Linked DNA regions of Stegostoma tigrinum. The protein of the gene in region 1 binds, or shares a complex with, the protein of each later gene. Links are inferred from orthologs where the notes say so. Each region holds a gene or a part of one and is shown in the gene's direction. Other genes may lie near its edges. The genes, in order: tubgcp5, mzt1, tubgcp2 and tubgcp4.

Evidence for each region.
Region 2: the proteins of tubgcp5 (region 1) and mzt1 are in contact, whole or in part, in a crystal structure (PDB 6L81), measured with the Homo sapiens proteins. The link is inferred for Stegostoma tigrinum from reciprocal best matches to the Homo sapiens genes TUBGCP5 and MZT1. Residues at the interface, in NP_443135.3 of Homo sapiens: Gln14, Gln15, Asp18, Val19, Glu21, Leu22, Val23, Val26, Ala27, Gly28, Asn36, Ala40, Phe43, Ala44, Asn47, Phe48, Arg52, Phe53, Leu54, Phe72, Lys80, Ser83, Trp84, Leu87, Thr88, Glu90, Phe91, Ala106, Ser109, Ile110; in NP_001065243.1 of Homo sapiens: Glu23, Val27, Leu28, Glu30, Ile31, Ser32, Ile34, Leu35, Asn36, Thr37, Leu39, Leu44, Ile46, Cys47, Val48, Arg49, Leu50, Cys51, Glu52, Gln53, Ile55, Asn56, Pro57, Glu58, Ala59, Leu60, Ser61, Ser62, Val63, Ile64.
Region 3: tubgcp5 (region 1) and tubgcp2 share a complex: the UniProt entries of both Homo sapiens proteins name them as parts of the gamma-tubulin ring complex. The link is inferred for Stegostoma tigrinum from reciprocal best matches to the Homo sapiens genes TUBGCP5 and TUBGCP2.
Region 4: the proteins of tubgcp5 (region 1) and tubgcp4 are in contact, whole or in part, in a cryo-EM structure (PDB 9I8M), measured with the Xenopus laevis proteins. The link is inferred for Stegostoma tigrinum from reciprocal best matches to the Homo sapiens genes TUBGCP5 and TUBGCP4. Residues at the interface, in XP_018102626.1 of Xenopus laevis: His233, Leu234, His235, Leu238, Ile241, Trp242, His245, His300, Met301, Thr302, Asn304, Cys305, Ser308, Val309, Gln312, Ala392, Ile393, Leu395, Asp396, Lys397, Arg410, Leu441, Asp442, Tyr443, Asp444, Asn445, Val446, Gly447, Glu448, Ala449; in XP_018110859.1 of Xenopus laevis: Met1, Ile2, His3, Glu4, Leu7, Tyr12, Pro13, Gly14, Ser15, Ile16, Gln29, Pro32, Phe33, Glu60, Thr63, Gly64, Ile84, Arg87, Ala88, Arg91, Arg101, Leu105, Gln109, Leu112, Pro115, His116, Leu117, Val178, Gly181, Val182.

What each region holds. Positions count from the first base shown.
Region 1 is NC_081359.1:97,918,536-97,926,342, reverse strand, and holds the start of tubgcp5 (gamma-tubulin complex component 5), read left to right. Parts: upstream 1-4,793; 5' UTR 4,794-4,893; coding exon 4,894-5,012; intron 5,013-6,422; coding exon 6,423-6,476; intron 6,477-6,561; coding exon 6,562-6,670; intron 6,671-7,807. UniProt on the Homo sapiens protein: Component of the gamma-tubulin ring complex (gTuRC) which mediates microtubule nucleation.
Region 2 is NC_081359.1:25,382,806-25,390,253, reverse strand, and holds the start of mzt1 (mitotic-spindle organizing protein 1), read left to right. Parts: upstream 1-4,439; 5' UTR 4,440-4,515; coding exon 4,516-4,561; exon of another isoform or gene 4,562-4,675; intron 4,676-4,906; exon of another isoform or gene 4,907-4,961; intron 4,962-7,448. Other genes in the region: bora (protein aurora borealis), read right to left, coding at 910-1,016, 1,562-1,726. UniProt on the Homo sapiens protein: Required for the recruitment and the assembly of the gamma-tubulin ring complex (gTuRC) at the centrosome.
Region 3 is NC_081390.1:12,448,301-12,455,605, forward strand, and holds the start of tubgcp2 (gamma-tubulin complex component 2), read left to right. Parts: upstream 1-4,290; 5' UTR 4,291-4,543; intron 4,544-7,305. Other genes in the region: znf511 (zinc finger protein 511), read right to left, coding at 2,321-2,522, 2,662-2,732, 4,003-4,169, 4,232-4,241. UniProt on the Homo sapiens protein: Component of the gamma-tubulin ring complex (gTuRC) which mediates microtubule nucleation.
Region 4 is NC_081389.1:21,469,117-21,476,529, forward strand, and holds the start of tubgcp4 (gamma-tubulin complex component 4), read left to right. Parts: upstream 1-4,408; 5' UTR 4,409-4,560; coding exon 4,561-4,638; intron 4,639-7,413. UniProt on the Homo sapiens protein: Component of the gamma-tubulin ring complex (gTuRC) which mediates microtubule nucleation.

The sequences.
Region 1 (7,807 bases):
CCGCAATATCAACAAAGACAGAATTCCCCTTGTCCTCACATATCACCCCATCAACCTCCGGATTCAACATGTCATTTTCCGCCACGTGCAATCTGACCCCACTACCAAGGATATATTTCCCTCCCCACCCTTAACTGCCTTCTGGAAGGACCACTCTCTTCACCACTCCATTGTCTGCTCCACACTCCTCACTAGCCCCACCACCCCTGGCACCTTTCCCTGCAAACGCAGGAGGTGCTACACATGCCCCTACACCTCCCACCTCACCTCCAACCCAGGCCCCAAGAAAACCTTACACATTAAACAGACGTTCACCTGCATATCTGTTAATGTGGTATCTCGTATCCGCTCTTCCCGATGTGGCCTCCTTTACATCAGGAAAACCAAGCAGAGGCTTGGAGACCGCTTTGTGGACCACTTACGCTCGGTTTGTGACAATGAACAACACTTCCCAGTTGCGAACCACTTCAACCCCTGCTCCCGCTCCCTGGACGACATGTCCATCCCAGGGCCTTGACCGATACCACAATGATGCCACCCAAAGGCTGGAGCAACAGCACCCCTGGGAACCCTGCAACATAATGGTCTCGATGTGGACTTTACAAGCTCAAAATCTCCCCTCCCCCAACCTCATTCCAAGACCAGCCCCCCTCATCCCTGTCTCCTTGACCTCTCCATCTTTTCTCCCACCTATCTGCTCCTCCCATCTCACTGACCAACCCCCACCCCCACTTCCTACCTACCAGCCCCAATCCCGCCTCCTTGACCTGTCTGTCTTCTCTCTACCTATATGCTCCTTTATCCACCGTCTATCATCGTCTCCCCCTCTGTCTATTAATTTCAGAGCCACCTTCCCCTCCCCCATTTCCGAAGATGGGTCCAGACCCGAGACGTCAGCTTTCCTGCTCCTCTGATGCTGCTTGCCCTGCTGTGTTCGTCCAGCTCCACACCTTGTTATTTTTGTGCCTTTAGGGAGAGGTGGGGGCCATAGGGGTGGAATGATTTATTTTGTTTCCTGTTCTTGCAGCTTCAGTATTCAGGAGATTGGACTAATAAAATTTCCTTGAGCGCCCCAAACATTGTCCTCACATTTGTGTGCATCCGCACTAAACTGTGCAAAGATCATTAGTACACAAACATCAAGTGTTAACACATGCTAAGGTTCTATTATCCCAGATATTACAAAAGATGCGTAGATAACAGATCATGTCAGATGGTTCCCTGAGCAGGCTGCTCAAATCATTTTGTGAAATGCCTCATCATCAGACATGATAAATAAGCATAAAATGTAGTTTGGCTGACAGTGAAAACCCACCTTCCTCTTAAATCCTGCCTACATGTCTGGAGATTTACCCTAAGAAGCTCTCTAATACAGGACTGTTCCCAGGGACCTACACAATATTTAACTCTATCAACTCTTTGGTCTGTCCAAAACTTGCTAATCTTCCAGTGTGGGGTGTTGTCCTCAACTAGATGTTGCAAACACAAGAGTGAGGATCACACTACAGTTTGGGGCAATTGCTGCAGAGGTGCAATGGGAGCGATTGCTGCCTTGGACTTATCAGTTATATTCTAATCTCCAGGTCTTTTTTTCTCTTTACATTTTATACCCTACACTACTGCCTTAAAGCAGTAGTGTTTACATTTCCCCACAGCAGCTGTGTTGCATGCATGTGTGCAAGTGCAGGAGTCAGTAAAAATACAACATGGAAGATAATTTTATTCAATATTTTCCACGACCAGGAAGAACACACATGTAGCCAGTGCACCAATAACAAGCAAAGCGTGGAACAAGCAATCCTTATGACAAAAAAAGCGAGGCGGAGGGTAAGGACCAAAATCAAAAGAGTTAGTTAGAGGACAAAATAAAGCATTCCACCCCATGGCACGCACCTCTCCCTAGAGGCATCAAGAATGTTGGTAGACATGGCATGCTTCCTCTCTTCCTCACCCAGGCTCAAATGTAACCACAGCAGAGGGGCAGGCAGCTGGCTGTAATGACCTCCTCTGCCTGCAATTTGTCAGTTATATTACATTGAGAGTCTAGAAACTGTGCACTCCAATCCGTATCCCTTATAAAGAATGTCTGTTGTAAATCAAACACTATTGGAAATGAACATAGAACATTACAGCACATTTCAGGCCCTTCGACCCTCGATGTTGTGCCGACCTGTCATACTGATCTCAAGCCCATCTAACCTACACTATTCCATGTACATCCATGTGCTTATCCAAATGTATTAAAGCAACTCGGTATAGATCATAAAGTGTGAAGCTGGATGAACACAGCAGGCAAAGCAGCATCTCAGGAGCACAAAAACTGACATTTTGAACTGAGACCCATCAGAGAGGGGGATGGGGAGAAGGTTCTGAAATAAAGAGAGAGAGGGGGAGGCGGACCGAAGATGGATAGAGGAGAAGATAGGTGGAGAGGAGAGTATAGGTGGGGAGGGGATAGGTCAGTTCGGGGAGGATGGACAGGTCAATGAGGCAGGATGAGGTTGGTAGGTGGGAAATGGAGGTGTGGCTTGAGGTGGCAGGAGGGGATAGGTGAGAGGAGGAACAGGTTAGGGAGGCAGGGACAAGCTGGGCTGGTTTTGCGACGCAGTGGGGGGAGGGGACGAACTGGGCTGGTTTTGGGATGCAGTGGGGCAGGGGGAGATTTTGAAGCTTGTGAAGTCCACATTGATACCATTGGGCTGCAGCTCCTCCCTAACTAGCCTAACTCCTCTCACCTATCCCCTCCTGCCACCTCAAGCTTGATACACTTTGAGCAGTTGTCGATTATATATGAACACGAAAGCAGAAACACTAGAAAAGAGGTCTTAAAGCAAATACAAATGCTGATAATGGATAATAGCTACGTTGGTCTCCATTAATGCAAGTAGGTTTCAATTCCAAGTTTGTTTTTAAATCAACTTGCTCAAGGGAATGTCTGAGGCAGGCGTGACTTGAACACTGCCATTCAACCCCAGAGGTAGGGACACTATCACTGGACCACAAGAGCTCTTTCAAGGTAACAAAGTGTGGACCTGGATGAACACAGCAGGCCAAGCAGCATCTTAGGAGCACAAAAGCTGACGTTTCGGGCCTAGAGCCTTCATCAGAAAAGGGGGATGGGGAGAGGGTTCTGAAATAAATAGGAAGAGAGGGGCAGGCGGATCGAAGATGAATAGAGGAGAAGACAGGTGGAGAGGAGAATATAGGTAGGGAGGTAGGAAGCGTTAGGTCAGTCCGGGGAGGATGGACAGGTCAAGGGGCAGGATGAGGTTAGTAGGTAGGAAATGGAGGTGCGGCTTGAGGTGGGAGGAGGGGATAGGTGAGAGGAAGAACAGGTTAGGGAGGCAGGGCGGACCAAAGCACCTCCCCACTCTCCCTATTTATTTCAGAACCCTCTCCCCATCCCCCTTTTCTGATGAAGGGTCAAGGCCTGAAACATCAGCTTTTCTGCTCCTAAGATGTTGCTTAGCCTGCTGTGTTCATCCAGCTCCACACTTTGTTATCTTGGATTCTCCAGCATCTGCAGTTCCCATTAGCACTTTCAAGGTTTTGTCTTCTTGTTCAGAGATACTATTACACACCTCTGCAGTAAGCGGGACTGGAACCAAAGTGTCCTGGCTTAGAAGTAGGGGCCTATGCCTATGGCACAACAGCCCTAGATGTCTTTATTTTTAAAATTTTTTTCAAAATAACTTTTCTTTCCCCTAATCAATCTGTTTAGACATTATTATACACCTCTGGAGCAGCTGGTACTTGAACCTGGGCCTATTGCTCCAGGCATAGGGATTCTACCTCTGCACCCCAAGAGGGTTCCCTGCCATGGCTTTTTAAAGATGATTTAACCTAAGCTTCCTAAACAGCCTGTTCAAAAATGCTATTACACATCTCTGCAGCTGGTTCAACTTGAACAGAGGCCTCCTGGCCAAGAAGTAGGGACACGAGCACTGTGTCACAAGAGCCTTGATGTCTTTTTTTAAACCATCATTACATCACCATGTTACAAATTAAAACAATCGACATGCAACACCAATCTCATTTTTAAAATGAATTACTTCAGCTTTCAGATGAGAGCCCTCTTGTGGCAAAATGGTAGTGTCCTAACCACTGGTCCAGGACACCCAGTTTCAAGGCCCACCTGCTCCAAAGGTGTGTAATAATGTGTCTGAACAGGTTGAGTAGGAAAAATAGGCTACTTTTTTTTTAAACAAAGCAAGTCAGAGGACCCTCTTGTCGCAGTGTCCATAACTCTGCACCACAGAGGATCAACTTCAAGTTCCATCTGCATAAGTTTAAAAAAAACAAAACATCCACTAGGACTCTTGTGGCATAGTTATAATGTCCCCACCTTCGAAGCAGGAGACCTTTCTTCATGGTCCACCCGTTCCACAGAGATGCAATAACATCCCTGAACAGACTGATTTTAAAAAAATACGTTAAATAAGAAAAATAACAACAGATCATTAACCTGTGCTCTGGTCCATTGTCACTACGCCAGCCCGTTCTTTAAATAAACAAGTCACCATAATTCGGAATATCATTCAGACCACCACCGACGTGCAATAAAATTTAAAAAATGAACATTTAAGCACGCAAGTATGTTATCGCCTGCAGGCCTCTTAAACAGAGGAGACTGCAGCATCTACAACACGGAACCGATCTCAACACCCACAACCTACCACCCCAGAGGTACCCCGCAGGATCTAGACGGCGAATCCACTTGAAATGACGTTAAAATTCGAAATTAAACTACCACTTCACCAGGTCCGCGAGCGTCCCAACGAGCTGACCCGACAGTGGTTCCGGGGGAAGAGTCACTTCCGGCGGTGGCTGTAAGCAGAATGTGCGGGTGATTTGTTTGGAAAGGAGCCGTTCACGCCTTTTTAATTTATCGACATGGCGCATTGGAATAAGTTCGAGAAGGATTTGAAGAAGTTGATACAGTACATTAGCGGGGTCCCGGAGGAGGACCCTGATTTCCAGTTGGCGCTGCAGTTCACGTGGTCTAACGTCAGGTAACCGAAGCCTCATAACATTGAGGTAACAAAGTGGGAAGCTGGATGAACACAGCAGGCCAAGCGGCGTCGCTCCTAAGATGCTGCTGTGTTCATCCAGCTCCACACTTTGTTATCTCTGATTCTCCAGCATCTGCGGTTCCCATTATCCCTCATAACATTGAGGGTTCGTTTTAGTTTGGAAAATGTGCATTCAGTAGATGTTATAACAATAACTTGTGTGCCTTTAAATAAATAATGTGATCCTCATCCCACGCAGTTTATTGGACTGGAAACGTTAGCTCTTTTTCCCCGATGCTGCCAGATCTGCTGAGTTTCTGCAGACCTTTCTGTTTGTGTTTCAGATGCTTGGGATGGACAACTTTTGACGCCATTTGAGCCACATATGGCCGGGGTGTGGGGACGTGGGGCCAGACAGTCAATAGCTTGAACAAAGTAAATAGCGTTTAGGAGATAGTAGGAACTGCCGATGCTGGACAATCTGAGATAACAAGGTTTAGAGCTGGATGAACACAGCACGCCGAGCAGGAAAGCTGATGTTTCGGGCCTGGACCCTTCTTCAGAAATGGGGGAGGGGAAGGGGTTTCTGAAATAAATAGAGAGGGAGGGGCAGGCGGATGGAAGGTGGATAAAGGAGCAATTAGGTGAAGAGGAGACGGACAGGTTAAGGAGGCGGGGATGGAGCCAGTAAAGGTTATTGTAGGTGGGGAGGGGGAGTTAGGATGGGGGTTGGTCAGTCAAGGGAAGACTGACAGGTCAAGGAGGCGGGGATGAGGCTGGTACATAGCGGGTGGGGTTTGAGGTGGGAGGACCGGATAGGTAAGGGAAAAGACGGACAGGTCAGGCAGGCAGGGATGAAAGGGGGATAAGGGGGTCGGGTCGGGTCGGGTCGGATGGGGGAAATGCCCCTGGTAGTGGGGTCAGATTGCAGTTGGTGGAAGTGGCGGAGGATCCAACGCATCATTTTCCGCCACTTCCGTCTATCCCTACCACCTATTCACTGCTCCCATCTCAACCTCCACCTCCTATCTCCCAGCCTCCTTGACCTGTCCATCTTCCCTTCCCTACATTGGAGGCTGCAAGCAGACATAACTGTGATCAAATTATTCTGTGTTCTGCTTTTTGCATATTTTTGATGGTCAATTTAGATTCTGAAAAATTAGGAACAGCATGACTCTTCAACTTGGCTAAAGTATAGTAGTTAGAACCATGTAAATGTGACAAAAATGATCTTTTATTTTAAAAGAATAATTAATTCTGCTAGTAGAAAGAAACATTTGTGAATATTCCACCACCAATAGATCGTTGCTAGCTTTGTAAGAAGTAATATTGTATAACTGGTTTGTCTGTTTTATTCTATTTCTATTTCCTGTTGCATGATATTTGGCTTCGACTTTTTAATTCTTTCAGATTCCATCGATTTCTTGACGTTGACAGTCAGAAAATAACACGTGTGATTGATGGGTGAGGTTCTTCATACACTTATATGTGGTCCTTATTGTACAGAAGTAATGAAATGTTGTCAACTGACTTAACTTTTGTTTTTCAGAATCCACGAAAAACTGATTATTCATTCAGAACTCCCGAAAGCTGTAAGCTGGCGGAGGTTAACGGATGAATTTCTGGATTTGCCCCTTGAGACTGTCGAAGGAACAAAGGTTTTCATCTCAGTCTTGTTAAATCGAACTGAACTTCACTGTTTCTACAATTTTGTGTAATCTTAAGAATTGATCAATGTATTCATATTTGTTTTTAAAAAAAATTGTTTGTACTTTCAGAGATAACGAGAACTGCAGATGCTGGAGAATCCAAGATAACAAAGTGTGTAGCTGGATGAACACAGCAGGCCAAGCAGCATCAGAGAGGATGCTCTCTGTTGAAGGGTCTAGGCCCGAAACGTCAGCTTTTGTGCTCCTGAGATGCTGCTTGGCGTTGCTTGTACTTTCACATTGTTTTCACTCTCAAACTTCTTCTGAATTCATTTACGCCATGCTCAAATGATATTTCATGAAAGCTGTATACCCTCTAAAATCTCAGCAAATAATGATTTAAAAACAAATCAGCTCGGGCTTTTCAAAATTTAGAATGTTACAAACATGTGAGCTATTATTGTGTGAGGAATCACATGGAATCCAGGGAGAGCTAGCTATTTGGAAACAGGATTTGCATGAAGGTAGGAGTCAAAGGGTGGTGATCTTTCAAACTGGAAGCTTGTGATCAGTGGTGTGCTGCAGGATCAGTGCTGAGTCCACTGCTTTTGTTATTTATCTAAATGATTTGGCAGTGAACATAGGAGGTATAGTTGGTAAGTTTGCAGATGACACCAAAATTGGTGTAGTGGATGGTGAGGCAGGTTAACTTAGAGTGAAGTGGGACATTAATCAGATGGGCCAATGGGCTGAGGATTGGCAGATGAAGTTTAATTTAGACCTTGTGGTGCAGGTTCGTAGTGAAGAAGGCGTTTGGTAAGCTTGCCTTTATTGGTCAGTGCATTGAGTATAGAGGTTGGGATGTCATGTTGCAGCTGTACAGGACATTGTTCAGGTCTCTTTTAGAATACTGCATTCAATTCTGGTCTCCCTGCTGTAGGAAAATTTGTTTTAAACTTGAAAGGATTCAGCAAAGATTTACAAAAATGTTGCTGGGGTTGGAGGGTTTGAGCCAAAAGGAGAGACCGAATAGGTTGGGCTATTTTTCCTGCAGCGTTGGAAATGAGGGATGACCTTAAAGAGGCTTATAAAATCATGAGAGGCATGGATAGGGGGAATAGTCAAGGTCCTTTTTCCAGGTTAGGG
Region 2 (7,448 bases), about 73 Mb from region 1:
ACGAAGAGAGATTGAGCAGTTCAGGCCTGTATTCTCTGCAGTTTAGAAGTACGAGAGGATACAAGATGCAAAAGGGGATTGACAAAGTAAACGTAGAAAGCATGTTTCCTCATGTGGCAATCTATAACAAGAGATCAGTTTTAGGCTAAGGGATAGCAAATTTAAAACAGATGAGGAGAAATTACATCTTTTAAAGGGTCATCAATCTGTGAAATTTGTTAGAGTGCAGTGGATGCTGGGACATTCATGTAAATTTAAGGAGGAGATGGACTTTTCATTAGTAATGAGTTGAAGGATTATGGAGAGTGGGCAGGAAAGTGGAGTTGAGGCTGAAATAAGATCAACCATGATCAAGTGGTGGAACAGGCTTGACAGACCGAGTTGCCTACTCCTGCTCATAGTTCTTATGGGTAATTTATGGGCTTTACTGGCTAGGCCAACATTTATTGTCCATTCCTAGTTGTCCAGATGGTGAGCTGCCTTCTTAAACGTGTAGGGAGACCCACTGCACTGTTGTGAAGGGAGATCCAGGTTTTTGACCCATAGACAGTGAAGGAACGGTGATATTGTTTCAAGTCACGATGGTGGTGGCTGCAGGGGAACTTGTAGGTGCTGGTGTTCCGATTATCTGCTCCCCTTGTCTTTCTAGGTGAGAGAGGGTGTGCATTTGGAAGTTGCTTTTGAAGGAGCATTAATCACATACTGAATTCATTGAGGATATGTTGATATTGTCAAATCACTTGGAATTGAAACACAAGCAAGAAAATGACTCTAGAGTGCCTCATCATCTTATCCATCAAAATGGCAAACAAAACTCTAATACATGTAAATGAGAAAGGGCATCTAATTACATATATGCTGATCTAATGGCTGCATTGTATGCAAGTCATAGTAAAGAAAACTGGTAACCTGGTGCAGCTCATGTATGCAGATTGCTGGTGAACATCTTCTGGATCAATTTCAATAGGATGCAGGATGGCAAGCTCTCCAATGGACCATCTGAATTTTCCAGGTGTCTAAGCAAGGAAAGTAGTATATTTTCAAGCCATCCAACATAAGTAAGAAATAATTTACATTTATAGCTGGTTTCTGAAACCTCAGCACACTTCAAAGTGCCAATGAAACATACTTTGAATTGTAGTCACTGTTGGAATGCAGTGAAAGTCAACACCAGTACAGCTCTTCCCTCAGTGCTAGCCTCAATGTTATGATATGGGCTAAAATGAAGAATATGTACTGTTTCTGGCACTTTTCAAACTAACCACAGACTAAGTGATCCCAAACAAATGTAACGAAAATTTGATAATCAGAATCTTCCTTGCTTTAAAGCATTTCCTCTAACTTCGATCTATCTCTTTAATATAACTTTAATTTTCTAATGGCTAATACAACCAGGTATCACTCTTTCAAATATAGTTTTCATATGGTAAAACGCCTTTGTCCTAAAAAAAAACTTGACATTCCACACTGCTATTTTTATAGCACACAAAATCAATTAAATTACAATATTTTGTATTCAATATGAGAGAAAAGAATTCTCTTTAAGGAGTGTCAAACATACCTGTGAATCAGGTGTTTTCACTAATTTGAAGACAGAGGGACTAGGGACTACTGGTTCATGCAATGTTGCATAATCACTGGGGCTCTCAAAAGGATTTGAAACAGGAGGTCGCCCGGGTGTGTCTGGTGTTACATGTACCCTGGTCTCACTCTTCAAATCTCCCATTCCTCTTCCTTATAGTAAGTAGAACCTTTCCACTTCTATTATTGGGGAAACAAGAATCTTTGTGAAATAAGTAAACAATATGTTTTTTAATGTCAAATTTTCACATATGTCTCACACCTACTCTTTTAATGAAAACAAAATACTGCAGATATTGGAAACTGGAAACAACAACCGGAAATGCTGTAGAATCTCAGTAGATCTGGTAATACCTATGGAGAGAGAAATAAGATTAACATTTCAAGTCTGAAAAGACTCTTCTGCAACACGAAGTAGTAAAATTGGAAAATGTTCGAAATGCTTCGGCCCATCTATCCAGATCCCACTTTCCCAGAACTGGTGTCAGTACCAATGAACTGGAACCCATTTCTGCCACGACAGTCGTCTTTCAGCTATACATTCAATTGTCAAGTCTGATTTACCTTATGGCAGTTTTTAAGTGACTCAAGTATAACACAGCGATTATGAATATTGAGGTTCTGCTTCTTAAAATTTGCACCCAGCTCCTCATACTGACAATGCAGAGCCTCCTTCTTTGTTCTGTCTATGTCGCTGGTACTGACGTGGACCATGGCAATTGGGTCCTTCCCTTCCCATTGCAAGTTCGTCTCCAGCCCCAAGCAGGTGTCCCGCGTTGTGGCAGCTGTCAGGCAACACAACTGTTTGGACTCATGCTTTTTTGCTGCAGAAAACTTTGTTAATCTCCCTCACAATCCTGTGTCCTACCACAACTACATTCTTTCTTACTCCCATCGAGTGTCTTTGTGTACTGTGCTGCCATGATCATTTAGGTTATCCCCTCTGCAACCCTCAGCCTGCCTTACCCAGACAAGCTGAAAGAATAATCTTAATTTTGTTTGAGAAAGTTCCTTACTAATCAGATATCTTTAATATACTAATTAGCCTAAGCATATTATGATAACTGCACTACATCAGCAAGTGTATCACAGCACATCTGCTTACATATCTTGCTTCTGTGGAGTCACATTAACTAATGACATTCTTCATATAATTCGTTTAGCTGCTGTATCCATTGTCCAAGAACTATTTTATGCAGATTTGGGTTCTTCACATATAAAGAACACGAATTAATTTCTAGCTGAGCAAACATTTTATACAATAAATAATGCAGTTTTTCATGCTATGTAATATATTCAAGAACTCGACTAATTTTTCTAAAATGTTTATCCACGGGATGTGGGCATTGCTGACTGGGCCAGCATTTATTGTCCATCCCTAATTGTCCTGGAGAAGTTAAATATGAACATTTTCTTGAAACACGTGTGTGAGAGATGCAGGACACATAGCGTGCTTTTGAGCATAAGATATAGGCAAAGTAGGCCACTCAGCTCATTCGTGGAGGAGATTCAATCAATGAGATCAAGCTCATAATCATCAATCCACTTTCCTGCCTTTTCCCCATAACCCTAGATTCCCTTGCAGATTATCATAGCCTTATATACTTAGTCTACTAAACACATATATACTATATATTAAAATGTATGCTTAAGATGCTTTGTATACAAACAGAAAATGTGCTTGACAGCCCAGCCTGTGTAGCCCTCCAGATTTTAAAAAAAATCCACCGATTCACTACTCTCAGAAGTGATTCATCCACATCCTTGACTTAAATGGGTGACTCCCTATTCTGAAATTAAACCCTCTGCTCCTAGAGTCACTCAGAATGATAAACAACCTGTCTGCATTTACCCTTTCAAGTCTCCTAAGAATCAACAAAAACATGATATCAACAATCCTTTAGCCATTTTTCTATTTTAAAAGATTTTACGATATTTTACCTGCCACTATTTTACATGATATTGATATTTCACTCTACCCTCTGTTTTATGTGATATTTTCAGTCAAGACTTTCCAGTTTACAATATTTCACCCAGTATGTCTGTTTTAAATGTTATTGATATTATATCACCTCAGTTCCTCTCTATTTTACATGATGTTGATAATATATCACCCAATCTATCCGTGTTTTAGATAATATCGACAACATTTTATCGATTCCCGTGTTTTACAAGATATTGATATTTTCCTTGTCTCGTTCCGTTTTATATGAAACTGATTATATTTTACCCCAGTCTCTCTTACTTATTGATGGTATTCCACCCGAGGCACCCTTAGTTTTACATGAAATTTCACACCAATCTCTCTCCATTTTATATGATATTGATGAAACTTCACCCCAGTCTCTCTGCTTTACCAGACATTGATGATATTCCATCCCAGTTTCTCTCCGTTTTACACACTATTTGACACTAGTGTCTCTCTCTCTATTTTAAAGTGATATTTAAGTAGATCTTACCTTCAATATTCCTCTCACCGAGTTCGTTGCCTTGAATGTCCCTCCCGCAGCCGCTGGCCAATCAGCGGCTACCGCAGCGAACGCAGCCAGCCAATCACCTGGTTTGGATGGTGGCAGCCAAAGAAACACAAACATTGGCAAGGGATATAGCCAATTACCGGTCTCAGTTATCGTTAGCCAATCGGAATGTCTCCTTGGGCGGTGAGACGGCAACCAATCGGCGGGTGCGCGCCAGCATCAACCAATCAGATTCAAACGGCAGCCAAGATTCTAAACGGCCGCTGACCCAGAGGAAAACCTTCACAGTGATAATAAGTCGATCCCGTTTCATCGGTTGGACGCCGACCGGTTATTTCACAAGATTTATTACCACAGTTTCCTGCTTGCTACGGTGACTAGTTTAGTTTTTTTTAAAGATGTGGTGATGTAATGGGCGGGGACCGGGCGGCTGTGGTTCCGGGTGAAAGGTGGAGCAATGGCGAACGCTGCTAACCTGAACGCGGTGAGGGAGACCATGGACGGTGAGTGTGAGAGAGAACCGAGTGATTTCGTGTTGAAGTTGGCGGTTCTTGTCTTCCTACCGATCCTCCATGTCATTAAAAGGGAGTTGATCGCGGCTTCATCACTCCAAATTCCTGGGAGGGGAAGAATGTCGAAACGTTAATGCTGCCTTCCCTCCACAGGAGCAGCCAGACCTTCTGAGTTTCTCCAGTGTGGAGCTGGAGGAACACAACAGGCCAGGCAGCATCAGAGGGAGCAGGAAAGTTGATGTTTCGGGTTGGGATCTCCACTACTTTGTTTTACTTTCCTTCTGGATGGAGAAGGATGTACCCTACGAGCAAAAGATTTCAGTAGACAGCTCATACCTGTGTTCCTCGGTGACCAGAAGAGGTGATCTCCGTTCAGACATGCGAATATGATTCGACAGGGTGGATATAGCACGCCCCTCCGCACACCCATGTCCAGAACCCGGAAGTCACAGCCTCTGAATGAGGGGACAACCTTTCAGGGAGTGAGATGAGGAGGGACTTGTTCTCGCGGAGGATAGCAAATCTGTTCAATTCTCGCTCAAGCATCCCCCCACCCACAAAAAAAACTGTATAGAATCCTAGTTCTTGAGTATTTTCAAGAGTGAGATGGATAGCTTTCCACTTTTAAAAGTAATATCCAGGGATTGTGTAGGAATTGGTGATGACGGAGAAGCCATGACCTCATTAAATGGCAGACTGGGCTCAAAAGGCAGAATTTCTCTTTTATTCATTAATGCAATGTGGGCCTTAGAATGATCTACTCCTATTTCTTAGATTTTTATGCTTCTTGTCAAATCCATTTAAGCATGAACAGTACACAGCAAGCTAATTTGACTAGGCAAGTTCAAAAATATAGGCCCATACAATTTACTGTGCCTCTTGTTTCCAGACTGCAGGGGTTCTACAAGCCATTCAGCCCATTGGGTGCATATTGACCCTTCAAAGAGTTTTGCAGGAGCACTGCAGCAAACCTGAGACATAAATGTTAGCCAAGGAGCACAGTGGTGTGTTGAAGTTGCAGGTAATTGGAGCTGTCATTTTTGCAGAACGTAGGTGTTCTGCAACATGGCCACCCAATCTGCGTTTTGACTCCCCAGCGTAGAGGAAACCAGGTTGTGATCTGCAAATACAGTAGATGAGTAAGTGAAGCGGATGTAAATCACTGCTTAATCTGGAAGATGTCTGGTGCCTTCGATTGTGACAAGTGAAGAAGTAAACTGGCATCTCTTACACCTTCTGCACATTTCTGGGAAAGTGCCACAGGGATGTGGTATGTATTGGGAACGGAGGAAGCATGCACCAAGTTATACCATAGGAAATGGTGCCTGTAGAAGACTCACAAGTAAGAGAAGGGGAATGTGTCTGGTGACAGCATCACACTTGAGGTGGTGGAAATGGTGGCTTATGAACCTTTAAATGTGATGCTGGTGTGGTGGCAGGTGAGGACCAGAGAGACCCTATCCGTGTTAGGGTGGGAAGAGGAGGAGTGAGGACGTAAGTGCGGGGGATGGGTTGGATGTGGCTGAGGGCCCTGTCAACCATGGTAGCAGGGAATCCTCAGTTGAGAAAGAGGTGGACATTTCAGTGGCCCCTTGCAGAAGCTGGCATCGTCAGAACAGATGCTACAGAGAAAATCCGCAAACAGGACTGCCTGGGCAGACCATTGTTTCTGCGTGATCCTGGCCCACAAATTCTTTTGTCCCAACCCGATTTGATTTTCTGTTTTTTCCTCTCCTCTCCAGGTCCTTCCCACTTACATTTGTGATTCTTCTTATGCTTTGCCAATTTCCAGCTTGTGTGACTCCTGCTCCTCACAATGGGCGTGCAGTCCATTACACCTCCAACCACCAATGGGATGATCTCGGGGCCCTCCACTACTTCCTGGAAGAAGGCCTGAACTGCCCTGTATACTTCCTACTCTTCCGAGCTCATCCTTACTTTGAATAACTGCCCCTTAAACTCCTCTTATTTTCTTCAAATTGAAACTGTGGCCGTAGGTATCAGCATGCCAGTAATGCCTATCTCCTTATGGGTAGATAGAATATTTCTTGTTCCAGCTCTTCTTGGGGCTCCTATCACAACTCCTTCTCTGGTGTATTGACATTATTGATGCTGCTTCCCTCATCCAGAATTGGAAAGATATCAATTTCTCCTCCAGCTCTTCTCTCCCCATCTTCAAAATCTGTTTCCATTTCTGGGGATAAGCATTACAAACTCATCAATTCTCACAGTTCTTGGTCTATACTTGCTCATACGTGCTTCCTGTAAAGAGTCTATTCCAACGTTGTTTTCAACCAAGAATTCCCCGCTGCTGTGGTCAACAGGATCTTTAGCTGTGTCCAGCTCATCTTGTGCAATTAAACCCTCGTCCCTTCCCTTACTACTCCAAAACCAATAGGGTCCCAGTGGTCCTCATCGTCCACCTCAACAGCACCCACATCCAAGGATCATAAGACACCATTTCCTCCACCTCTAGCAGCATGCCACCAACATTCTCCTCTCTTTCCTTGCCAGCTTTCTGCCAGGACTGTTCCCTCCTAGCCACCTTGGACCACTTCTCCTCCACTCCCAACACCACCTTCTGTTCACGTGGCAACTTACCATGCAATTGCAGGAGGTGTAAAACCTGCCCATTTCCTTCTTTCCTCCCTACTGTCAAAGGCTCCACCCACACCTTCCAAGTGAAGCAGCAATTTTCCTGCACTTTACTCAATCTGGTATATTGCATGCAGTGCTCACAATATGGTCTCCTCTACACTAAAAAAATGAAATGCAAATTGGACGACCGCTTTGCCGAACACCTATGTTTTGTGTACAAAACATGACAGCTTCTGATGGCCCGCAATTTCATCACACCATTGTGTTCCCTAGCCAGCAT
Region 3 (7,305 bases), on another chromosome or scaffold:
CAGAAATCCATTATGATGATGTAAGATGGCACGAATTTTGGAGACAAATTTCATACTGCCCTGTGGATTGTGGCATATAAATCCTAGTTTGGGCATTGGTGGGGGGGGGGGGGGGGGTCATGACTTCCCACACAACCGTAGGAAATCTGCTCAGTATGCCCATATAAATTCTCAAAAGCTTCTCCAGGAAAGGAAATCAATCTAACAGACGTCAGTGACCTGATTGGACATTTCATTTGCATTCTTAAAGGTAGAAGATTATAGCCAACTTTGCCTCCTGGCATATCCTGGGCCTCCCTCCCACTATTGGTGCAGAATGGCAGCACTAATATATTAAACACTGTATAATCCATAGACATTCATGGTCATGAGACACTCTTTCCATTCCCACCCTGGCGCAACTGGGGACAGGGTCCTTGACTTAATCGATTAACTTCTGTGCAGAATCTGTCCTTTCGCTGTATGAATCCCTTATTTTAACTGACAAAGTAGTTTTATTTCCTTACTTATTACATGCCTAATTACCATGAAAATACTGATTACATAAAGAAAGCTTTGGCAGAAATGATCAGAAGGTCAAGTGCTTATTATAGACTTGAGCACATAATCTAGGTTGACACTTTAGTGCATAACTGAAGGACTATCAGAAATGATGTATATTAATCGAGATACCATTTTTATTTTTAAAAAATTTGATCATGGGATGTGGACATCGTAGGCTAAACCAGCAGTTACTGCCCATCCTTAATAGCCCAGAGGACAGTTAAGCATCAAACACATTCCTGTGGGTCTGGAGTCAAACCTGGACCAGGCCTGGGAAGGATGGCAGATTTTGTCCCCTAAAAAGGGCATTAGTGAAGCATATCAATTTTTACAACAATCGACAATAGTCTCATAAGTTGCCATGAGGCTGGCTTTTCACTCCAGAATTTTATTGAATTCAAATCTGATCAGGCACCATGGCTGGATTCGAATCCATGTCCCCATAACATTAGCCTAGGGTTCTGGATGAGTAGTCTACAGATATTACCACTATGTCATTGCTTTCCCCTTAAGGGCAACAAAATCACATTTGAAAATCACCAACAAGCCAATGCTAAGATATTACAAAATAAAGGAGAACCCATCATACTGTAGGTGACAACCATCATGGGAAACATTACAGTATGAAAAAGAACAACAATCTCATTATTAGAAAAAAAATCCAAGTGTCACATGTGGAAAGGTTTTCGGTACCACAGATTAGACAGACCTTAAATCATGCTAATAAAGAAAAGTGCTCCCTCTAGTCAGTAAGGACTAGGGGTTGCTGACATTGCTAACTGACTAAAGTTGCTTTCACAATGTTTTTTCAAGTTAAAAACAATGTTTGTTTGCATTGCACAAAGTATGGATCAAAGGCTGATATCCCATGTTTGAAAAAATCAAGAGATGGACTTACTTACATTCGATGTTCAGCAATTTTTTTGTACATTGGTCATAATTTGTGTTGCAGCCAGGGTAGCCAAGGTCCTTATAAATTATATTGATTTAGGTAAACCTACCACCACTACTGTCTCTACTCTGCATAGTAGAGATATGAAAAAGCATTGAGTACTAGCATGCCTTATTCCTGACCCTCCTTAAGAATTGGAGATCTGCTAAGTTGATGTGTAGTACAGTTTGTTACTCTAGCTACATGCAGACGATCTAGAGATTTCACAAATATAAATGTCTCCAAAATCCTCTTCAGCAGGTCAAGGTAGTAGTCAGGGCCAAGGGTTCTTTGATAGAATATGAGCCAATAAGGATGTGAATAATGCCACAGGAACATTATTGTTCACTTTATTCCCTCATTTAATCTCACATGAAGGATACTATTAATAACCTAGTTTCCTAATGGAATTGCTACAATCTTTGACTCTGGTGGCAATTACAAATGCAATCTCTGATGTTAGGGAAGAATAGTAAGACTCCTAAATAGCTCTCACCTCTGAATGCTTGATTCTGATACAATTCTTTTCCCATAATCTTGCCTTGGCTAATTTGAAAAGATGTAACAGTAATAAAAAGTGTTTGCTCTCATTTTCTCCCACTCAACAGTCACAATGTACCCTGAGTTGGCAGTATCCAAATGGTTCCTCTTAAGACAGTTCATCATCACTGTATTGCATCAGCAGAAGTTACTGAGATTCCTGCTTAGATCATCCTGCCTTTGTACAGAGACAAGTGCACACGGTTCTGCATGGAGTTCAGACAACTCTATACATTACAGCAAATATTGACAGATTTAACACACACCAGTGAAGAACTCAGGATTTAGAGTTTCATAATCACTTACCATGTTCTGTTTCGCTGCCAAAATTTGGAAAAATGAGTCGTGCCATTCCAGGATGTGAATATCTAGCAGATGACTGGAAGGAAAAGAGCGCTTGCAGGAGGAACAGACATTGCGGTGAAATGTATTATAATGATGTTCGTAGTTTTCTAAGGCATCAAACAGTTGACTACAACCTGCTATTTGGCAACAGAATTCAGAAACCCTAGATATTTTTTTAAAAAATGGAAACATAAATATACATAAGTTAGTTCTTCAGAAAAGTAGTAGCGGACAATTAAAATGGCTTTGGTGGAATCCAGTTAGTAAAGGGGCAATCCTCAAATGCAAACAGCTTTACTTACTTGGGTCTTTCTGCTTCTTCCACATTTGTTATAGAATTTTGCAGATATAAATGTCTACAGACATCACCATCCTAAAACAATAGGTTAAATTATTTTCAATAAATCATTGGTTTGCGAAGTAGTTAAAAGTTAATCAGTTACATACAAACTTCAATTTTTTATTGGTATAAAAGAACCTTCTTGTAGTGGAAGGTAAGCAACAATACATCTAATAGCTAATATTATCAACACTGGGCAAACACAGTAATGCACTGAAAAGCCAAGTCCGTGGGACTGTTGGATGAGATAGTAAACCCAAACTAGAGGTAATATAATCAGAAGACACAAAGCTATCAACGGTTCTACACTATCAGCATCCATTGAAACTTATCACAATGTCTGACTAGCCAAGGACATACTTCCCACGTTTTGACTGCCAGCAAATCATCCAACAAGGCATCCCATAGTAATGCTTCTTTTACTATACGCTCATATTGTCAGAATATAATTTAAATTTATTTCCTTTATTACCAAAACCACCATCTCTAACGATCAAAGTGAATGCAGTCATCAGCTAAAGGTGTCCATGAAATTTAGTTTCTTTACAGCAAGGTCAATTTCAACTCCATTTATTATGTAGGTAATTTAGTTCCAAGGGTAAGGAAATATACTTGTTGCAGTGTGACAATCCTTTTAGTCGCTACCTAAACGTCAGCTAGGCATCAATGCAAATTAGCTGCATTACGGAGCAGGAAAACTGACGTTTCGGGTTGGGACTTTCCTTCAGAAAACCCTTAACAGTTTGGCCGATTTGATTAATGCTGACTGGAAGGTGCTGGGGGCTCAATATAAACTGCACATTGTGGTTAAAACAAATACATCGATAAATCTCATGTCCATCACTTTTTAAATACTTGGCTGTTCGCCTGCACGAAGTAAGTAGTTAAGTAAGTAGTGAACCTCTAGTGAACCTCTCCACAATTCTAAAGATGCAACTGTTTGGGCCGTTCACCATACCTGATGTTCAAGAGAAAGCTCTCAGAAAGGAAATCTGCAAACGCTTTGATTATTATCACATTGTTGTTTGCGGGATTTTCCGTTAATTAGCTACTACAATGGCTGCAAAACACTTTGGGATGCTCTGAAATCGTAAAAGGCGCTACAGAAATACAAGTTTTTACTTATAAAGGAAACACGGCCATCAGCTTACACACAGCAAGTTCTCTCTCTGTCTCACACACACATATATACAGCAACGAGGGAATGACCTGACCTGTTTAAATGCAACTGAATGGACACCAACATTGCACTCCCCGCCCCAAGGACTCAAGGTTTCAGTTTAATTAACGTGCCGCCACTAACCTCGAAAAATTCGTCCTCTTTCTGCAGGAAGATCCTCCTGGACCTGAAAGTAAAAGGTGACGGCCCCAGCTCTGACTCGCCAGCCGCCCCATCCCCTCCGGCTTCAACGAACGCCACCGCCGGCCAGAGTAGCGAGCCTGGCCTAGACCAAGGCGTCCAGATCCCCTCTCATCAGCAACAACCGACCGACAACCCACTATGCGTACACTCATCCAGTCGGCGGACTCACCACTGCGCATGCTCAGCAACCGCCGCCGCGTTGCCCCCTCAGTGCGCGTGCGTAGTAACCGTCATCTGGCCTCCGCGCGCGTCCCTTCTTGACGTCTCCGTCTGGGTCCAAGCGCCCGTCGACATCAGGCCCCTTCCAAGCGTCTTCCTTGCCTCCTTACTCTCTTCCCTGCCTCTTTCTTTATGTGCAAAACTCAGGTGGAACAGAGCGGCGGAGCCTCGGGTTTTCCAGGGGGAAGTGGCGGCGCGGTTGCAATTGTTCGGAGGAGAGGGGATGTTGTTGTCTGTTTGATGTGAGTGGAGCAGCTGAAAGGTGAGGTTCGGCCCCGGGCAGAGAGCGGGAGGAGCGGCCTGGGCCTCTGTCTCCGTGTGCGTTGGGAAGGGGTTATATTTAAAAATGAGCGCGATCTCCCCCAGCAGGTCTGGCTGTTTGTTTTGGTAAACAGGCCGGGCTGCTGCAAGGGCCCTGATCCGGGGAGACCAGCTTTCCGCTGCCGGTCTAAAATCAAACCGCCCTGACTGAAAAAGCTAAGGGGCATTTCCAGGCTCTTAACTCCCGATGTGCGCCTTAGGTCGACCTCCTCCTCTCGCAGCCTCTTGTATTGCCCCTAACCCGTGCAGGCTCAGTCTTGGGGTAGAATTGGAATAAACAGTTTACCTCAATCCCTCCACAAACCGAGGGTATTAATATCTGAAGCGGGGGGAAACCACAGGGCCTCATGTTTTTATATTCCGAATACAGGTCATTGCATTACTGTATCGCATCAGGTGCGCACCCACCTCATGCGGGTTTCCCCATTTTAAAAAATTGTAACTTTGTTTTTAAATCGCTTTCCGACCCCTCAGACCTTTAGTAATAAAGACGAAGTTCTTGTACGCAAAAGCAAAATACACTGGTACCTGGACATGTAAAATAAAAATAAAATCTTTGAGCGTTCAGACCTACTGAGTTTCTCAAACATTTGCTGTCATTTCGATTTTCAGCATTCGTAAAATTTTGCTTTTATTTATTACAAGCTTTCATGATCTCTGCACTCTGACAATTCGACCATCTTGCACTTGTGTTTTGGTTGCTTTACTATTCTTGCCTTAACCTCTATGATTTTTAAAGAATTCCTACAAATGTGGAAACAGGCCTTTCAGCCCAACAAGTCCACACTTCCCCTCCAAAGAGCATCCCACCCTGACGCATTCCCCTACCCCTCCATTTCCCCATATCTAACCCACCTGGACACTATGGTTAATTTAGCATGGCCAATCCACCTACCCTGCGCATCTTTGGACTATGGGAGGAAACCCATGCAGACACAGGGAGAATGTGCAAACTCCAAACAGACAGTGACCTAAGGGTGAAATTGAACCCTGGCCCCTGGCGCTGTGAAGTAGCAGTGCTAACCACTGAACCGCCCTCCCTAAATGCTGCACCTATCTGATTCTCCTAAAGCATGGCTTAAGACCTACTATTTGGACCAGGATTTTCTTTTCCCAATCAATGACTCAGAAGCACATCATGAGGTTCCTCAAGCCTGCTCTGTTATTTGACAAGATTATGTCTGAATTAATATTAGCCTCAACTCCACTTTTATGCCAATCCCTGATTCACCTTAACTCATTTGTCAGTCAAGAATCTCTCTAACTTAGCCTTAAAAATATTCAATGATCCCAACTTCTCCACTCTGTGGCGAAGAGAATTGCACACATGACCTTTTGAGAGAAAACATTTCTCCTCATAGTTGTCTTAAGTTGGAGACCCCTTATTCTTAAAGTGTGTCCTGATCTGTCCTGAATTGCCCATTGTGTCTTGGTGTCAAAGGAATTTTTTGGACATGTTTTTGTAAAAGGCTTAGGAATGTTTTACTTTAATAAATGCTGTATGTAAGGTTGGGACCTTGCCTTATTGTAAGCAGTGCATCTGTAGCAGTTTTCTGCAACTCAAGTTGTATCAGTCCTTTCCAGCAAATTGCTTTCTATCCTTGAATTTATGCAAATGTTGAAAACATTTATTAGAAAATACACTTTACCTGATTGTTGGATTCATAATGGATTGATGTTATTATTGATACCATAAAATGAAGAAGAAATTTCAGTGAGGCTTTATATCATGAAGAGTTCAGTTAACACAACATGCATGATCATTGAGTTTGGGACATTATTGCAATCCCAGTAACAGTGAAATCAAGAAGGAGAGATGAAACTTGATACAAGAATTGAGAAGGAGAGTTAAAGAGCTTAGAGTGATGGAGAGAGGGAATTTAAGAGTGTAAGGGGAGGAATGGAAAAGGTAGAGAATATCAAGGCTGGAAGTTACTAGACTAGATATTGAAACAGAGAATGACCTCAAATTGTGTAAACTTAATTTTCAAGCCTGTTTCATTTATAATTACTATACTGCAGTTTATGGATTTTCAAATATTAATTTCCAGATTAGAAGATTTTAGATCTTTTTCTTTTGTTCCTTGCTTAATGTATATCACTGCCGCTTAATTAACTTAAGTGATTGTAGCATTATTAGAGAAAATGTTTGTAGACAGAGGTAAGTTACTAAATTCAAACATCAGTGATTATTTATGTTCAAGTTCTTGCTCCTGTAACTACTAAAATATGGACTGTAGAAGCTGGTGCTCAAATATTGATCCGTAGTTGAGGATTTTGTGGTTCCAGAATAAGTAGTATCTTGCTGAGATTCGGGAAAGCTCACGGCCTACAATTTACTAATGACTTTAAGCTGTTATTTGCATGTGGTGAGTTCCCAGCCATAATTGCTAAGTTTGTAGCCAACCTACTGTATATTGTTGTCTGATTTAAGCATTCTTAGTTTCAACTCGGTGCCAATTCCTTAAGCAAAGTGCTGCCTGTCATAGCTGCAAGTAGTTTTGTTTTGTAATCTTGTGCAAAGTTAGTCTTGGCATATATAGACAACTTGTTGCCCTTTCTATTTTGTGCTTATGTACAATTTTATTTTGTGTAAATGACAGGAGAGAATTTTAGACCTGTTCAGGCAAAATTGATTTCAGTGTAATTGAATAACATGTGCTAGATGTAAATCTATGAAATGGGTGGCCTAAACTTTTACTT
Region 4 (7,413 bases), on another chromosome or scaffold:
TTAAGACTTGTATCTGAATTCCGAACATTAACTCTGTGTTTTTCTCTCCAGTGATCGTGCCAAACATGCTGAGTTTCTCTAGCTTTCTCTGCTTCCAAGTCAGGATAGTGAGTGACCCGGAAAAGAACTATATATCTGCCCTTGTCCTTCTAATAGGTAGAAGTCATGAGTGTGGAAGGTGCTATTGAGGGAGGGAGGCTTGCTGAGTTACTGCAGGGCATTTTGTAGATGGTACAGATGGCTACCACTGTGTGTCCGGGGAGGGAGTGAATGCTTAAGGTGGCGAACGAGATGCCAGTCAAGCTGGCTGTTTGGTCCTGGGTGGTGTTGAGTTTGTGGGGTGTAGTTGGAGGTGCACTCATCCAAGCAAGTAGCCAGCATTGTATTACATGCCTGTGCTTTACATCGTGGACTGGCTTTGACAATTCAGGAAGTCTCAGAATCACCAGATTCTGACATTCTGTTGCAGCCACAATATTTATATGGCTGGTTCAGTTCCATTTCTTGTTAATGGTAACTCAAAAGTGGGGGACACAGCAATGGTAATGCCTTTGAACATCAGGAGGAGATGGTTGGATTCTCTCTTTCTGGAGATGGTCATTGCCTGATACTTGTATGGTATATGTGTAACTTGTCACTTATTAGCCCAAACCTGGATGTTGCCTAAGTCTTGCTGCAGTATAGCTGCATGCTAATTCTGAATCAATGGAATAAATTATCTGCAGATCACAGTAACTGTATAATATATTAAACCATCTTACAATGACTTGGGCCTTCCGTCACCTTCTTCCATTATATGCTTCTTTATCCATACTGATACCTTTGTAATGTGTAACCTATCCAGTACTAAGACAGATCTATTTCTCATCCAATATCTGCTGACCTATATTGGCATCCCATCCTAAGGAATGTAAAATTTAAAATAATCTTTAAATGGCTCCTTGTCTTCAGTCTGTTGTACCTTTGCACCTTCCTCCAGTCCTCTGCCCTTCCCCTTCAACTGTGGTCTCCCTGCTATTGGAAAGATTTGTTAAACTTGAAAGGGTGCAGAAAAGATTTACAAGGATGTTAGATAATAAAATGTGAGGCTGGATGAACACAGCAGGCCCAGCAGCATCTCGGGAGCACAAAAGCTGACGTTTTGGGCCTAGACATTATCTTGCATTCTCCAGGATCTGCAGTTCCCATTATCACATTTACAAGGATGTTGCTGGGTTTGGAGGGTTTCAGCTATAGATGGTGACTCAATAGGCTGGGGCTATTTTCCCTGGAGTGTTGGAGATTGAGGAGTGACCTTATAGAAGTTTGTAAAATCATGAATGAAATGGATAGGGTGAATAGTTAAGGTCTTTTTCTCAGGGTAGAGGAGTCCAAAACTGGAGGGCATAGGTTTAAGATTTAAAAGGAACATGAGGAGTAATTTTTCACACGGAGGGCGGTACATGTATGGAATGAGCTGCCAGGGGAAATGGTGGAGGCGAGTACAATTACGACATTTAAAAGGCATCTGGATTGGTATATGAATAGAAAGGGTTTAGAGGGACATAAGCCAAATGCCAGCAAATGGGACTAGATTAATTTAGGATATCTGGTTGGCATAGTCGAGTTGGACCAAAGAGTCTGGTTCCATACTGTTCATCGCTATGTGGCTCTAATTTGTTCCCCTTGACTCCAATAGTTCTTTCTCACACTGGCCGAAGAATCTTCAACTGCTTATGTATGACTCTTCAAAATTCTTTCACCACTTCCTTCTGCCTTTAGGAGCATCTCAAAACCCTGCATTTCTTCAACAAGCATTTTGTTATTTATTCCCAATCTTTAGTTTTGTGGCACCTTTTCCATTTTACACATGAATTATTTTGAGATTATGAACAAACAACTGAACAAGGAGGATGAGCAGTCTATTCTGCTCCTTGAGTCCGCTCATGGCTGATCTGATTGCAACTTCAAATCCTCATTCCAGCCTAGCCCTGATAACCTTACAGCCCCTCTGCTTAAAAAGAATCTGTCTACCTCTGATTTAAGAATATTCGGTCTCTGTTTCCAGCACTTTTTCACAGAGAATTCCAAAACTCACGACCCTTCTAGGGAAAACTGTTGACCTTATTTCTGTTTTAAAGGGACAATGCCTGATTTTTCAACAATGATCACTAGTTCTAGATTCTCTCAGAAGAGGAAATATCGTCTCCACATCCACCCTGTGAAGACCCCTCATGATCTCTGATATTTCAATTAAGTTGCATCTTCTAAACTCCATTGAAAACAGAATGGGCCTGTCTGACGTTTCCTCAGCAGAGAATTCTCTCATTCTGGGGGGTATTAGCCTAGCAAATCTACACTGAACTGCTTCGTTAGTGTTAAAAGCAACATTTTGCATCCATTAGGGATTCGGGGAATGGAGGATTATGGGTCGAAGTGGGAACAGCTCATGAGCAGATTGAACTCTTGCATGGATAGATGGGCAAAATAGTCTGTTTCTGTTGAAATTTACGTGCAATATTAATGGAGAATGCAGTTTTTGGGTCAACAGTTGTCCCAGTTCCTCATTTGTGTGGCTCAGTACAGCATAGCTATCCTGTTCATGGCACTTTTTCATTACTGAGAACTACAGCAAGTTGAGATAGGCGAAAATGTCTCCATTAAGCTGCAAATCCTGCCTCAATATATAAATGACAAAATAAAATATGCATTTACAATTCCACTCGACCTATTTTCAATATTTCCCGGTGGAAAATGAGCCAAGTCAATATAGATTGGTGCATCAATATATTTGTTGTCCTCCACATGTAGAAATTGAGAATTCAGATGTGGCTACTTGAATTTCTGATGAATAAAGAGTAACAGATGTCCACAGTGTGTCATCTGATATCAATAATTGTAATGATGTGGAGGTGCAGGTGTTGGACTGGACAAGGTCAGAAGTCAAAAGACACTAGGTTATAGTCCAACAGGTTTATTTGAAATCCCAAGCTTTTGGAGCGCTGCTCCTTTGTCAGGTGAAAGGTATTTCAAATGAATCTGTTGAACTATAACCAGGTATAATGTGATCAGAGATAATGGAAATTGCAGATGCTGGAGAATCCGAGATAACAAAGTGTGGAGTCGGATGAACACAACAGGCAAAGCAGCATCTTAGGAGCACAAAAGCTGATGTTTCGGGCCTAGACCCTTCATCAGAGCATCCTATTTATTTGTTGTTACAATAATGACAAGAATAATAGTGTGTGTTGATCATCATGGCTGTTGGATTCTCTAGAACACTGAGGGGTGTTGGATGTTTGTTAAGTAAATATACAAACTTTGACGCCCAATTACACAGATTGCGTGGAAGGTTTTTTTCTTTAAATCAGCCCATGCACTGCAGCAACTCACCAAAGTTCCTTCAACAACACATTCCAAACCTGCAACCTCTAGCATTTGGAAGGACAAGGTCATCAGACACATGGGTACACCACCATCTGCAAAAAAGTGCAAGTTCTCCTCCAAACCATCCTGATATGGAAATATGTGATAGCAAGGTGCAGAGCTGGATGAACACAGCAGGCCAAGCAGCATCAGAGGAGCAGGAAAGCTGAACGTTTCGGGCCTAGACCCTTCTTCAGAAATGTGCTCTGCACCTTGTTATCTCAGATTCTCCAGCATTTGCAGTTCCTACTATCTCTGAAATGGAAATATATCGCTTTTCCTTCAGTGTTGCTGTGTCAGCATCCCTCCCTAACGGGACTGTGGGTCCATCTATCCAATATTACAGGGGGAAAATAGTGAAGGGAAATTAGCAAAACCAGGAAATGAACGTACTGGGCATCATAGAAGAGGCTTCGCAGTGAGGTTAAAATAGTATCAGAGATAATGGGAACTGCAGATGCTGGAGAATTCCAAGATAACAAAATGTGAGGCTGGATGAACACAGCAGGCCAAGAAGCATCTCAGGAGCACAAAAGCTGACGTTTCAGGCCTAGACCTCTGATGAAGGGTCAGCCCGAAACATCAGCTTTTGTGCTCCTGAGATGCTGCTTGGCCTGCTGTGTTCATCCAGCCTCACATTTTGCTATCTGGGCATCATAGAATTCAGTTTTCAAGAATACAAAGCAAATGGAAGCAATTTGTATCCTTTCCACTTTTAACCATGCAGTTCAAGAAGGACAAGTATCATCATAAAGGGCAAGTAGAAATGGGCAATAGATGTTGCCCGTGCTACTGGATCCCATGAACCAAATATTAAGAAATGTGGCTAAAACTTTGATATTTGTAGACACACACACGTGACAAAATTGGCTGTCACATGCAAACATACAAGCCAGCATGAAAGATGGCGGCATCGTCAGCCTATTTGACTAGGTTCGTGCCAGTAACAGAAATGGCGAGCAGAGCAACTTGCCAGGAATAAACATGGTGGGCAATTGCGCGATCACTTCGAGCCGTCTATTGCCAGTCTCAAATATGGCTGCGTCCGGAGGTGCCGTACTGTGGTCCGAGTAAGCCGGTTGTTTCTAAAACCAAAAAAGCAAAAGGAATCGGAGCGTGAGAGCGATACTTGTCACCGGAGCCCACAACGGCGAGATGATCCACGAGTTGCTGCTGGCATTGAGCGGGTATCCGGGCAGCATCTTCAGTTGGAACAAGCGCAGCGGCCTACAGGTGAGGCAGAGCTTCAAGCACCATGGTAACCGAGAGGCCTGGGCCCTTCTCACGATGGATAACCCGAGCAAAGGAAACAACGGAACCTAGTTCCGTTTATTCAGAGAGTGAGAGAGAGGAATAAACTATGGCACATAGCAGTATCAGGGCGCAGAAGGTTGTCATTCTGCCTACTGAGCCTGCACTATTAATGGAGCTTATGCCAATCTACTGCTTTCCTCCATACCGTTAGACATTGTTTTTAACCTAGTAACCAGCCACTGCTCTGATCATCATGTTTCTGGTTCTGCTATGTTTCCAGGATTTCTGTCTGAACCGCTTAGTCATCGGAGTTTTTAACAGCACAGCGAGAGACCTTTCCGCCTGTCAGCAAACATCCGTTTATTCTAACATAAAGCAAAAAACTACAAATATTGCAGATCAAAAACAAGGACAGATCAACTTCTTCTGTTTTTGTTTATTTTCCATCTATTCTGATCCCATTTTCCAGCACTTGCGTTTTGCGTGCTCATCTAAATAGCTCTTATACACTTTGACAGTTCTTGCCTCTATCACACTTTAAGGCAGTGGGTTCCAAATATTCACCACCTTCTGGGTGAAAAATACTTCCTTAAATCCTCTCTAAATCTCCTACCCCTTGCCTTAAATCTGTGCCACTTAGTAACTGAACCCTCCACTAAAGGGGAAGAGTTTCTTCCTAACTATGCCTCTCATAATTTTCTACACCTCAGTCAGGCCATACAGGCTGGCAGGACTCAAAAGGTATGTGTATAAGCATATGTTTTCTGGGATGACCAGCTCCCACATTCATCACTGGATGATGTGCTGCACCCGTATGGCCCAGGCATGCAATGCCTACCTATCAAGAAGGGTAAGAAAAACACTGAACATGGTGAATGAAACATACTGGTCCGGTGTCAGAGATAATGGGAACTGCAGATGCTGGAGAATCCAAGACAACAAAATTTGAGGCTGGATGAACACAGCAGGCCAAGCAGCATCTCAGGAGCACAAAAGCTGACGTTTCGGGCCTAGACCCTTCATCAGCTCTGGCTGACGTTTCGGGCCTAGACCCTTCATCAGCTCTCTGATGAAGGGTCTAGGCCTGAAACGTCAGCTTTTGTGCTCCTGAGATGCTGCTTGGCCTGCTGTGTTCATCCAGCCTCACATTTTGTTATACTGGTCCAGTGTGTCTTGTTTGCTTCAAAATGGAAGTCCAGCACTTTCGCTTCCTAGCGTGACTGGTTTTCACTCACTTTTCCCTCTGGACAATTCACAAAGCCATTCCCCGAATGAATATCCTTGCCCTTAACAGCTGGGACAGTTCATGATAGTGGCTGCCGGATCCTGATTAAGTTAACACTGGCCCAGTCAGTGACACCCACAGCTATGCAGTGGGGTGGATTGCTGTTAAATGGAAGGAATATCAGTCTCCTGTTTCAATAGTAGAATGCAGAGATCATAATGTAAGAAACAGGAGCTTGAGCAGACAATGTGGTTACTCGGTGTCTGACATTTGGTATAATTGTGTCTTTTCTTTGGTGTCAACTCCACTTTTCTACCGACTCCCCGTATTCCTGCATTTGAAGAATCCTCTCACAGTCTGGAATACATTCACCAATGAAGCATTGACATACCTCTAGAGTAGAAAATTCCAACCCAGACAGAAAAATCAACTTTTACTGTTCTATCCTTCTGCAAAGGTTTGTGGTCGTGGCTGGTGCATGTGTTCTGTTCCCCACAACTCCAGCACTGTAATGTTCCCACTGAAATTTGGTTTGAAGAGGAAATGGCCCTGGAGATAAAATGCCTTAATAATAGGAGTGAGTGAAGGTGGAGTCATATTGTGGATGCTGGTATTGGACTAATTCATAGTAAATGGAGTCTGAGAGGAGTGGCCTTGTGTGGTATGGATGTGTTAGAACATAGAACAGTACAGGCCCTTCGGCCCACGATGTTGTGCTGAACTTTTACCCTAAACCTAAAGTCTATCTAACTTCCACTCCTACCTTATGCTATCATCCATATGCCTATCTAGTAGCTGCTTGAATGCCCCTTGAGCCGACTCCACTACCCTCTCTGGCAATGCATTCTACGCACCTAGCACTCTCTGTGTAAAGAACCTCCCTCTGACGTCTCCCCTATATCTACCTCCACTCACTTTAAAACTATGGCCCTTGTAATAACTACCTCCACCCTAGGAAAAAGGTCTCTGGATGTTCACCCTATCTATACCTCTTTTCATTTTGTACACCTCTATCAAGTCAGTTAGGCTGCTTACTTCTGGATCTGTATAAATATATTCTGGATTGTATAATCACCCTATCAGAAAGACCCACTGACGTTTTCTCTCAAACAGCTGATAATAGGCAATAAATGTCACTTTTCCCAGTGTTGCCATTTCCTGAGAATGAATTTGTGTGTTCTGGGTTCACCTGGTTCCTTTCTGCTTGAATAATATACCTTGTATATTATTCAGAAGCATGAATTAAATACAGTTCTCAAGGTGTGACTTGACACTACAATTTTGACTAGTCTAAGTGGTAATGTGCAACATTCAGCTCAAGCATAAATATTTTACTTAATACCCGCCGGCAGCTTCTCACTCCCCCTTCTTTTTTTATGACGTCTTTAAAGCTAATGTCTTTGGCCAAGCTTTTGGTAAACCGGCCTAACATATATGCTTTGGTTTAATATTAGTTTTTGTACGATGACATTCCTGTGAAATGAGTTGGGACATTTATTATGTTAAAAAGGTTACATTGACACAAGATG